Drosophila melanogaster: one gene and its partner. The gene in region 2 interacts genetically with the main gene of each other region. Each region holds a gene or a part of one and is shown on either strand. Other genes may lie near its edges.

Region 1 (5,354 bases), 3.7 Mb from region 2:
TTAAAACAACTAACATACGCTTTACATATGACATTATCGTGTTTCTGTTTAGATTTTTGTAGAAGGCAGAGACGGCGTACCAATTGAGTTTATAAACTGAACAACATGCACAACAATCAGGCATACATATATAGAGTATAACAGCTGCATATATATACGATTTATAAATTATAATGAATCATAAATCTAATAATTAAACATTATGAAGCATACGTGTAACTAACAACAAAGTATTAAATGTGAAGTAAACAAAAGAGGAAGGGAAGTTGTAGAAGTCGCAAGCGCCCATTGAAATCAACTATTTACATAATTACATATACGAGATCATTTAGTCGAAAAATCGAAAAAGCTTTAAAGGCGAACTAAACCTAAACCAAAACTCAACTCTTAACCTTTGCTTAAGCCCCGAATAAGAGAATTTCTTTGCTCATTGGCTGAAGGGAATTAGAATTTCAATAAAGAATTAATCTTAAAAATACTTTAAAGGATCTATTTACAAAATCTAAAAGCATATCCATTGTTTTTCAAAACAAATATACACACCCTTCATAAAATTCGTTTACGTGGTTACTTCAGTTCAGTTTCAAGAGCGGCCAGTTGAATTCTGAAACAATTTCTTCAATTTATGTGTAAGTCCCCCTCTAATACACTAACCTATTTAAGTTTTGCATGTACTTACTTTCCCTTTATACGTTAAAGCACACAAACTGCCACACAACAACACGTATAAAGCATCTGGAAAAGTTGGTTTTACAGTCTTTACGTACATTAAGTTTAAGTTTATACTTATGTGTACAAAAAACCAAAATTGCAACTAACGCTTGTCCTTAAGTTGAAATAGAGAAAAATCAAGAATCAGTAAAAATGAATACCATATGCTTAAATTAATTTATAAAACTAAAATATATATATATATTATAAAACACTAACAAGAGGAAAATACTTAATAAAATTATTTCAACTGTATTAGCAAATTAAAAAAGAATTACAAACGTGTAAGGAAACTTATAAAAGCTCTTAAAACTGAAAACTTATTTATGAATGTAACTGTAGCATTATCTAAGTAAAAGCGAGAGTAAAGCAAATATTTATGATGTGTAACCTTAATTGACTAACTAAATCCACAATATGTATGTTGATTTGAACAAGGATTGGTTTAATTGTTGACTTTTGTTGAGAATTCCACAAAAGGAAGTTTATAAATGAGCGTAACTAAACTAAATGATGCATAACCTAAATATAAAATTGATTACCATACACTTATGTAAATATATTTATACAATATTGTGAACATGAAAATTGAATGCAATACAAGCAAATTAGGCAAAAATTCCGGTTAGGAGTTTTTTATATGTACCATATATATTTGAAAGAAAAAAGAAAACCCAGCAAACCACGAAAACAAATGATGAAAATATAACTACAAATTAAAATTTATTACAAAAAAAGCAACCAGACGAGTGTGTGTTTTCTGTAAAATTCGCTTTCCACTTTTTTGCTATGTCTTTTGAAAATTTGAACTAAACTCAGTTAAATCTGATTTGTTACTGTGTCAGCAGCAGTAAGCTTTGATTTAAATGCGTTAATTTTAATTTCCCATTCGGCTTCCACTACTTTTTTGGTTTAAAAAAAATTTGCTTTTCTATGCGAAGAAATGCTTTTTAAGTCAATCGAGACTTTTCGTTAGTACATGCGATACTGTTAGAAACTGTTTGGCTCCTGCTTCAAAATTCCACGTTAATTGTACGAAGCAACCGGCTGCATTGGTAACTAGACCACCCATCCACCCACCAATAAAGCACCCTTTTCGGGAGAAGGGGCAAGGTCACTGGACACGGCCACTCCCAGGACACGGATACTGTTAGGCATACGCAGACGCAGTAGGACATTCATCCACGGAGTTAGCGGAGGAGATTAGGAGCAGTAGCCAGCAGTATGACCACGCAGAACACCACGCCGGCAGGATTCACCGGAAATCGAAACCGCTACTACAACCCCGTCTCAAAGATCCAGTCGCTCATTCACAACCTGGACGCGGAGCTGGTGCAGCTGTGCAAGCAGTGCTCCGTGCAGAAGCCGCTGACTAGCCTCAATAACAGCACCAGCCTTGGCAGCCACTTCTCGAATTTCGGAGCGCTTGGTGGTGGCAGTGGGTCCAAAACCATGGGCGGCAGCAGCAGCATGGGTAGCAACAACTTCTCTCCCGACAGCATTGGCAATCTTTTGGCCCGTGTCCGTGCATCAACTCCGTTGCCCAGGACCGTGACCAGCTCGCCCACGGCGCCGGAAGCACAAAAGCGTCAGATGCGCAATGTCTACCGCACCCGTGTGATCGATGCGTACCGTAATCGGCGGATCTTCACCGTATACGGCAACTACCACACGGTTAGACGGGCTCTAATGCGAAGGGGCTGGCTGGAGAAACTGCCGGCCTCGCGGCATGCCAAGCTGCAGAGCATGTCCGAGGATGCCCTGCTGGAGCACGCCCGGCGGGGCAACGACTACGAGGCGGTGGTCATATCCAAGATGATCAACCATTTCCCAGCCTTCTTCATCTGGCAGGGCAAGGGGCAGCGCGACCTATGCGCCGAGGTAAGACCCTTCCGGAATCGTGTGCGCCGCAGCCAGTTCCTGGACTTCTCCACCAAGGTGGGTCTGGTGGGCTGCGCCGAACAGGAGCGCTGGTATCGCGAGGACGGTGTCTGCGGCATGAGCTATCCGCGCTTCTATCGCCTGGGCGGTAACAATCTGGAGGAGCGTATGGCCTTCATAGAGGACTACCAGCAGACGCAGGCCCGCTCCCTGCTGCTCTATGTAAGGGAGCACCAGCCGGCAGAGCTGATCAGCGAGAACGGCACCATATTCAGCACCACTCTGGACTTTGCGCTCGGCAAGGTCAAGAAGATGGTGCGCCACGCGGAGCACTACTCCTTGGACGATGCTCGCATCAAGCCGCCGACTCCGGCGGAGATCGTTGAGAATCAGACCTTTATGGTGCAGTCCACCGATGTGCTCAAGTCCAATGCTAAGTTCAAGGTCAGCGAGAAGGTGATGGCAGAGTACGCCCGTCTAGCGGGCCTGTATCTCGACCAGATCGAGTCCCTTCGTCCGGACTACCGTTGGGATGGCAGCCGCAACCTGTGGATTCTCAAGCCCGGATACCAGTCGCGCGGCATCGGCATTGTAATCCGCAGCTCCCTGGACGACATTCTGCAGTGGACCTCCAACAATCAGAACAAGAAATACATTGTCCAGAAGTACATAGGTGAGTTCGATTAGTATCTAGTGGAGAAATCCTTTGATCCTTTGACAAATTTTCATCAACATTTCCGCTCAGAGCGACCCCTGCTGATTTACCGCACCAAGTTCGACATCCGGCAGTACATGCTGCTGACCATCACGGACACTAAGGTGAGCATATGGACGTATCGCGACTGCTACCTGCGCTTCAGCTCGCAGGAGTTCACCATGGACGATCTGCGGGAGTCCATCCACCTGACCAATAATTCGGTGCAGAAGCGGTACAAGAACAAGACCAACCGGGATTCGCGGCTGCCCAAGAATAACATGTGGTCACTGGATCAGTTCAAGAACTACCTACGCATAATGGGTGCTCCGGACGGATCGTGGTCGAAGACGTACAACGGATTCAAGCAGAACCTGGTGGCTGTGGTGATGGCCAGTCTGGACGAGACGGAGTTGTTGCAGAACGCCTTCGAGCTGTACGGTTGCGACTTCATGCTCGACGAGCACTACAATCCCATTCTGATCGAGATCAACTCGACGCCGGATTTGTCGCCATCCACGGAGATCACGGCCAGGATATGTCCGATGGTTCTGAAGGATTGCATCCGCGTGGTGGTGGATCTGCCCAAGAACCCCACCGCTGCCACCGGACTCTTCGAGCTCGCCTTCGAGGTGAACTACAGCATAAACAAGGGAGCGGATGGCAAGCCGCTGGAACTGAATGGCAAACAGATGACCCTGTTCGAAAATATGCCCAGAATGCGGAACAGCCCCAGGACGCGGCTCCTGCGCAAGATTCTGAACAATGTGAAGACATCAACTACCAAGAAGGTCGAAAAGGTCGTGGAGGCTCCAGCTAAAAATGTGAAGAATCCCACTGCCAAGATCACCAAGAAAAAGGTATGGTACAAAAATAGTTAACAATTCTGGAAAAAATCAATTTTAGAGCTGAATACTTAACGAATTTATTTAAAATATTTTTAGAAACTATCTGCGTCAGCTGGAAGCTCGACGGCAGCCTCGGCTCAGCCATCAACGCAGAATTTGACAACCAAGTTGATACTAAATCCAGCAACTCGGGAAAATCTTGCACTGCAATATACTGCTCCAAAGTAAATTGGCTAAATTTAACTTCTTTTTGTGCGGAATGGAAACCACTTTTTTTTGGACAGTAGGTACTCCTAAGCATATTCATAAAATACTATGAAATATTTTCTTTTTAAGATCCAATGACACAGAAAACAATAATATGCATAGATTGTACAGAACTGTATTAGTAATAAATATGTGTAAGGAAAGAAAGCCCAGCTGGATAGGTTTGCATCCTACGAAAACAAAAGAGTAAGTTTAATTCATTATTATATTAAATTTAAGTAATATTAAAATAACACCGTTTCAGATTCCGAGGATCAATGTTCTTGGCGCCAGTGGAGATCAATAAAAAATACATATAAAGTAACACATAAATAAAATATACAGTCAGGACCATTAATTGCCAAATCGATTTAAATTTATTAAATAGATATAACAATTTTAGAATACAATAACTTGCGCAGATTTTCATAACAATTTTTGCAATAAATTCGTCTTAAAAACAATTCTGTATAATTCTGGATTATTAATATAATTCGAATATTTCTAAGATTTCACATGCTATAGAACGTTTGATTTATGTATGATGTTTTAAATTCATTTATTGAAGTATTCACAAAATAATTCGTCATCCTAAAATGTATTCAATTTTTAAAATATGTTGTCTAAAAGGCAGCTTATTCACAGGTTAAACGAAACCCGTACCCTGGTTGGGTAATGGATCTCCACTTGTACCTTTAAGGTACTGGAGTGGTAACTACGTTTTATTGACCAATCACGGCAGTTTCGGAGGTGTCTTAGCCGACCGGAAGTGCTGAAGCAGGAACCATCAGCGTGGAACCATTCAGCTTATTGGCCAGGGCGGTACGGGGGCTCATCATCTGGGCCTGGGAGAGCTGCAGCTCACTGGTGGCCTGCTTCAGAGCCGCCACGATGGGCTCTCCTCGATGGAGTGCCTGCACGGATATGCTAATGGGCAACCTCGGACCATTCGACTTCCGGCCAAAGGTCCGGCC
Region 2 (3,432 bases):
ATGTCACAGTCTTTTTGAACGGCTACCATGGCGACTGTTCGGAAACATTTCGGGTGGGCAACGTGGACGAACGGGGTGGCTTTCTCGTGGAGGCCACTAAATCCTGTTTGGATCAGTGCATTTCGCTGTGCGGCCCCGGTGTGGAATTCAATGAGATTGGAAAGTTCATAGACAGATATTGCGACGAACATGATCTGGCATCGATAGCTGCTTTCATTGGACATGGAATCGGTAGCTATTTCCACGGCCCCCCGGAGATACTACACTATTGTAAGTAAGACTGTTTAAGAGACTCCTCCATTGCTAATCAAACTGCACATCGTAGATAATGAGATTCCTGGAAAGATGCAGCCCGGCATGACCTTCACCATTGAACCCATTCTGTCCCTGGGCGGAGCAGAAATAGCAGTGCTGCAAGATGGCTGGACGGCCATTAGTTTGGATGGCGCACGTAGCGCCCAGTTCGAGCACACCATTCTGATAACCGAGACGGGAACGGAGATACTTACAAGAGATCAATAGAATTTTATGTACATGATGCAATTTTTATTCGTGATTCCCATAAAGTGTTGAATGAGTGCTGGATGGCAGTCTTGTGCATTTTGTGCCGTTTTAATCGTCGACTCCGTCTGGTTAGGTGCTCTAATTGATTGATGATGCATACAGAATTTAGCTACAAATCGCATTGGACTTCTGCACCGGCTTCTGAATGGGAAGGAAGAGCTTAAACTCCGGCGGCAGCTCGTCCTCCGAGTAGAGACGATCGGAGAAGTAGACGCGTCTGATGCGGCAATTTGCATGAATCTGTACACGGAGTGTCTCCACATAATTGGTGCCGTATGCGCGACGCGTGAAGTCGGACAGGTTGAACTGGATCTGGTTCCATCCCTCGTCCAATCGCATGGGCATGGTGCAAATGAAAGGCTTGACACGAGTTGTCGACTGGTAGTTACTGGCCCTAAACCTTCGCCGCACGTTCTTGTCATCGAGAACCTGATTAGGGGCGGAAATCATGGAGTTACTGTCTTATGCAAGATGACGAAGCTTACCTGAACCTCGAAGGTGAAGTACTTCTTCATGTTCTTGATGATCATCACCAGGAAGGGCAGCTTGATGCCCAGCGTCTTCTTCGGATCTGCCGGACATGTTATGAACGTGGTGCTGACATTGGTGCCGACTATTTCCAACACGAGGCTTTGTATGTCGTTGTCGGTGATCCGCTTGATGTGTCCATTGCGCACCTTCTTATCCCACAGCTGCAGTGGCTTTGAGCCAATACTGTACAGAATTGATAGGAATCCCGATTGGAAAGTGTTTTTGAACATTTCGCGACTGCTGTGCAGTGACCGGTTCGCCCCACGGAGAGTATAGTCTCTTCGAAATTTATATAGGGCCAGTTAAGGTTGGCCGTAAATTTTTCGCACAGCCGAAACTCGTACAAACTACGAACATCAATGCGGAACTTGATTATTTTCTCATGTCAATGAGTTTGTTTAGCACGGCATCCTGTTGTTGCCATAACAATAAGCGAGCAGGGTTGCCACGTTTCCAAATGCTTGAACATGCTCGCATGTTTATGTGGGGTGCGAAATTGCGAAGTTGAAGGCCTGTCTCGCTTATGGAACGGTGAAAAAGAAACAGCTTAAAAAATAAATAATAACATGCGTTAATTTGGAATTGGCTAGACAAAAAACATCTATTATTGTTAAAAATTTTTATTTATGAATTAATAACTTTTAATCAAGTTAAAATGGTGCTTATTATTAACAGCATGGAAACTTAAAATATAGAACATTAATTGTGAAAGTAAAACAGATTGCTAAAATGCTAAAGGTGGTTAAGTTATTATTAACAGCAAGAAAACTTAAAATACAGAAAAATAATTATTAAAGTTGACTTTCCCATATTCCGATTTCTGTGAAGCAAAAACCTAAGCAGCTATCGAGTTATCGGGCAAAGTCACATCACCAGTTGATGTGAGTATTAAAAAAATATATAGCTTACAGAGTACAAATGGCATCGACATCGAGGTAAAAGTCGGGTTTCCTAACAATTTGTGAACACCAATAATGGCTTACTGCTTGCAGACTGGACAACAACAAGGTGTGCTGCTACGCACACCCCGAATCTCCGCTCATCGAGGACTACAGGGCTGGCGATATGATTTGCTCCGAGTGTGGTCTGGTGGTTGGGGACCGCGTAATTGATGTGGGCTCCGAGTGGCGTACCTTTAGCAACGAGAAGAGCGGCGTGGATCCCAGTCGTGTCGGTGGACCGGAGAATCCGCTGCTCAGTGGCGGCGACTTGTCCACCATAATTGGTCCGGGCACAGGATCCGCATCCTTTGACGCCTTTGGAGCACCCAAGTACCAAAACAGACGCACCATGAGCAGCTCGGATCGCTCCCTCATATCAGCCTTTAAGGAGATATCCTCGATGGCCGATCGCATTAACTTGCCCAAAACCATTGTCGATCGGGCCAACAACTTGTTCAAACAGGTGAAATTCGAGTTCGCGGTTGATTTGGTTGAGACCTCATGCCGTTTTCTTGTAGGTTCATGATGGAAAGAACCTCAAGGGTCGTTCCAACGATGCCAAGGCATCCGCTTGTCTGTATATAGCTTGTCGCCAAGAAGGAGTTCCTCGCACATTCAAGGAAATATGTGCTGTCAGCAAGATCAGCAAAAAAGAGATTGGCCGTTGCTTTAAGCTAACATTGAAGGCTCTCGAGACAAGTGTGGATCTCATAACCACTGCGGACTTCATGTGCCGCTTCTGCGCCAACTTGGGTAAGTGTTTTTACACTTTCTGTACTTGAAGGTAGCAGGATTAATACCTATAATTCTTATCAGACCTGCCGAACATGGTCCAACGCGCTGCCACGCACATTGCAAAGAAAGCCGTCGAGATGGATATTGTACCGGGACGTTCGCCAATTTCTGTGGCCGCAGCCGCAATCTATATGGCCTCACAAGCATCCGAGCATAAGAGAAGCCAGAAGGAAATCGGTGATATAGCCGGTGTGGCCGACGTCACCATCAGACAGTCCTACAAACTTATGTATCCGCACGCAGCTAAGCTTTTCCCCGAGGACTTTAAGTTTACCACTCCCATTGATCAGTTACCACAGATGTAATTCTTTTCGTAGATCCGATGCTCAATACTAACGCTAACGTTAAGTGAAGGAAAATTCCTAATTTAATCACAAATTACGATTTTATTAAATAAAGTTAGCATAACTAATATTCAAATAGAACTGTTGGACCAATCAGAACATAATTAAATCATTGTTAAATTAATTATCTGAGTTAAACCCTTTCAGTTTTTGAACTTTATTCCAATGATTCGTAATACTTTGCTTGCTTGATTTATTTTTACATTTTTTGTGTATCTTTGGTATAATATAAGCTAATAACCAGAAACAAAAATTGC

The links.
Region 1: of Bug22 (region 2) and TTLL3B, changing one enhances a phenotype caused by changing the other (phenotypic enhancement), as found in Drosophila melanogaster (one study listed by BioGRID).

What each region holds. Positions count from the first base shown.
Region 1 is NT_033779.5:6,731,314-6,736,667, forward strand, and holds TTLL3B (tubulin tyrosine ligase-like 3B), read left to right. Parts: upstream 1-1,552; 5' UTR 1,553-1,935; coding exon 1,936-3,265; intron 3,266-3,337; coding exon 3,338-4,146; intron 4,147-4,230; coding exon 4,231-4,362; 3' UTR 4,363-4,417; intron 4,418-4,470; 3' UTR 4,471-4,587; intron 4,588-4,645; 3' UTR 4,646-4,836; downstream 4,837-5,354. Other genes in the region: TTLL3A (tubulin tyrosine ligase-like 3A), read right to left, coding at 5,136-5,354. UniProt on the Drosophila melanogaster protein: Essential glycylase which modifies both tubulin and non-tubulin proteins, generating side chains of glycine on the gamma-carboxyl groups of specific glutamate residues of target proteins.
Region 2 is NT_033779.5:10,429,390-10,432,821, forward strand, and holds Bug22 (basal body up regulated gene 22), read right to left. Parts: upstream 1,530-3,432; 5' UTR 1,326-1,529; coding exon 1,050-1,325; intron 994-1,049; coding exon 670-993; 3' UTR 531-669; downstream 1-530. Other genes in the region: CG5188 (uncharacterized protein), read left to right, coding at 1-270, 326-522; TfIIB (transcription factor IIB), read left to right, coding at 2,014-2,030, 2,088-2,499, 2,555-2,789, 2,853-3,136. UniProt on the Drosophila melanogaster protein: Cilium- and flagellum-specific protein that plays a role in axonemal structure organization and motility. Microtubule inner protein (MIP) part of the dynein-decorated doublet microtubules (DMTs) in cilia axoneme, which is required for motile cilia beating.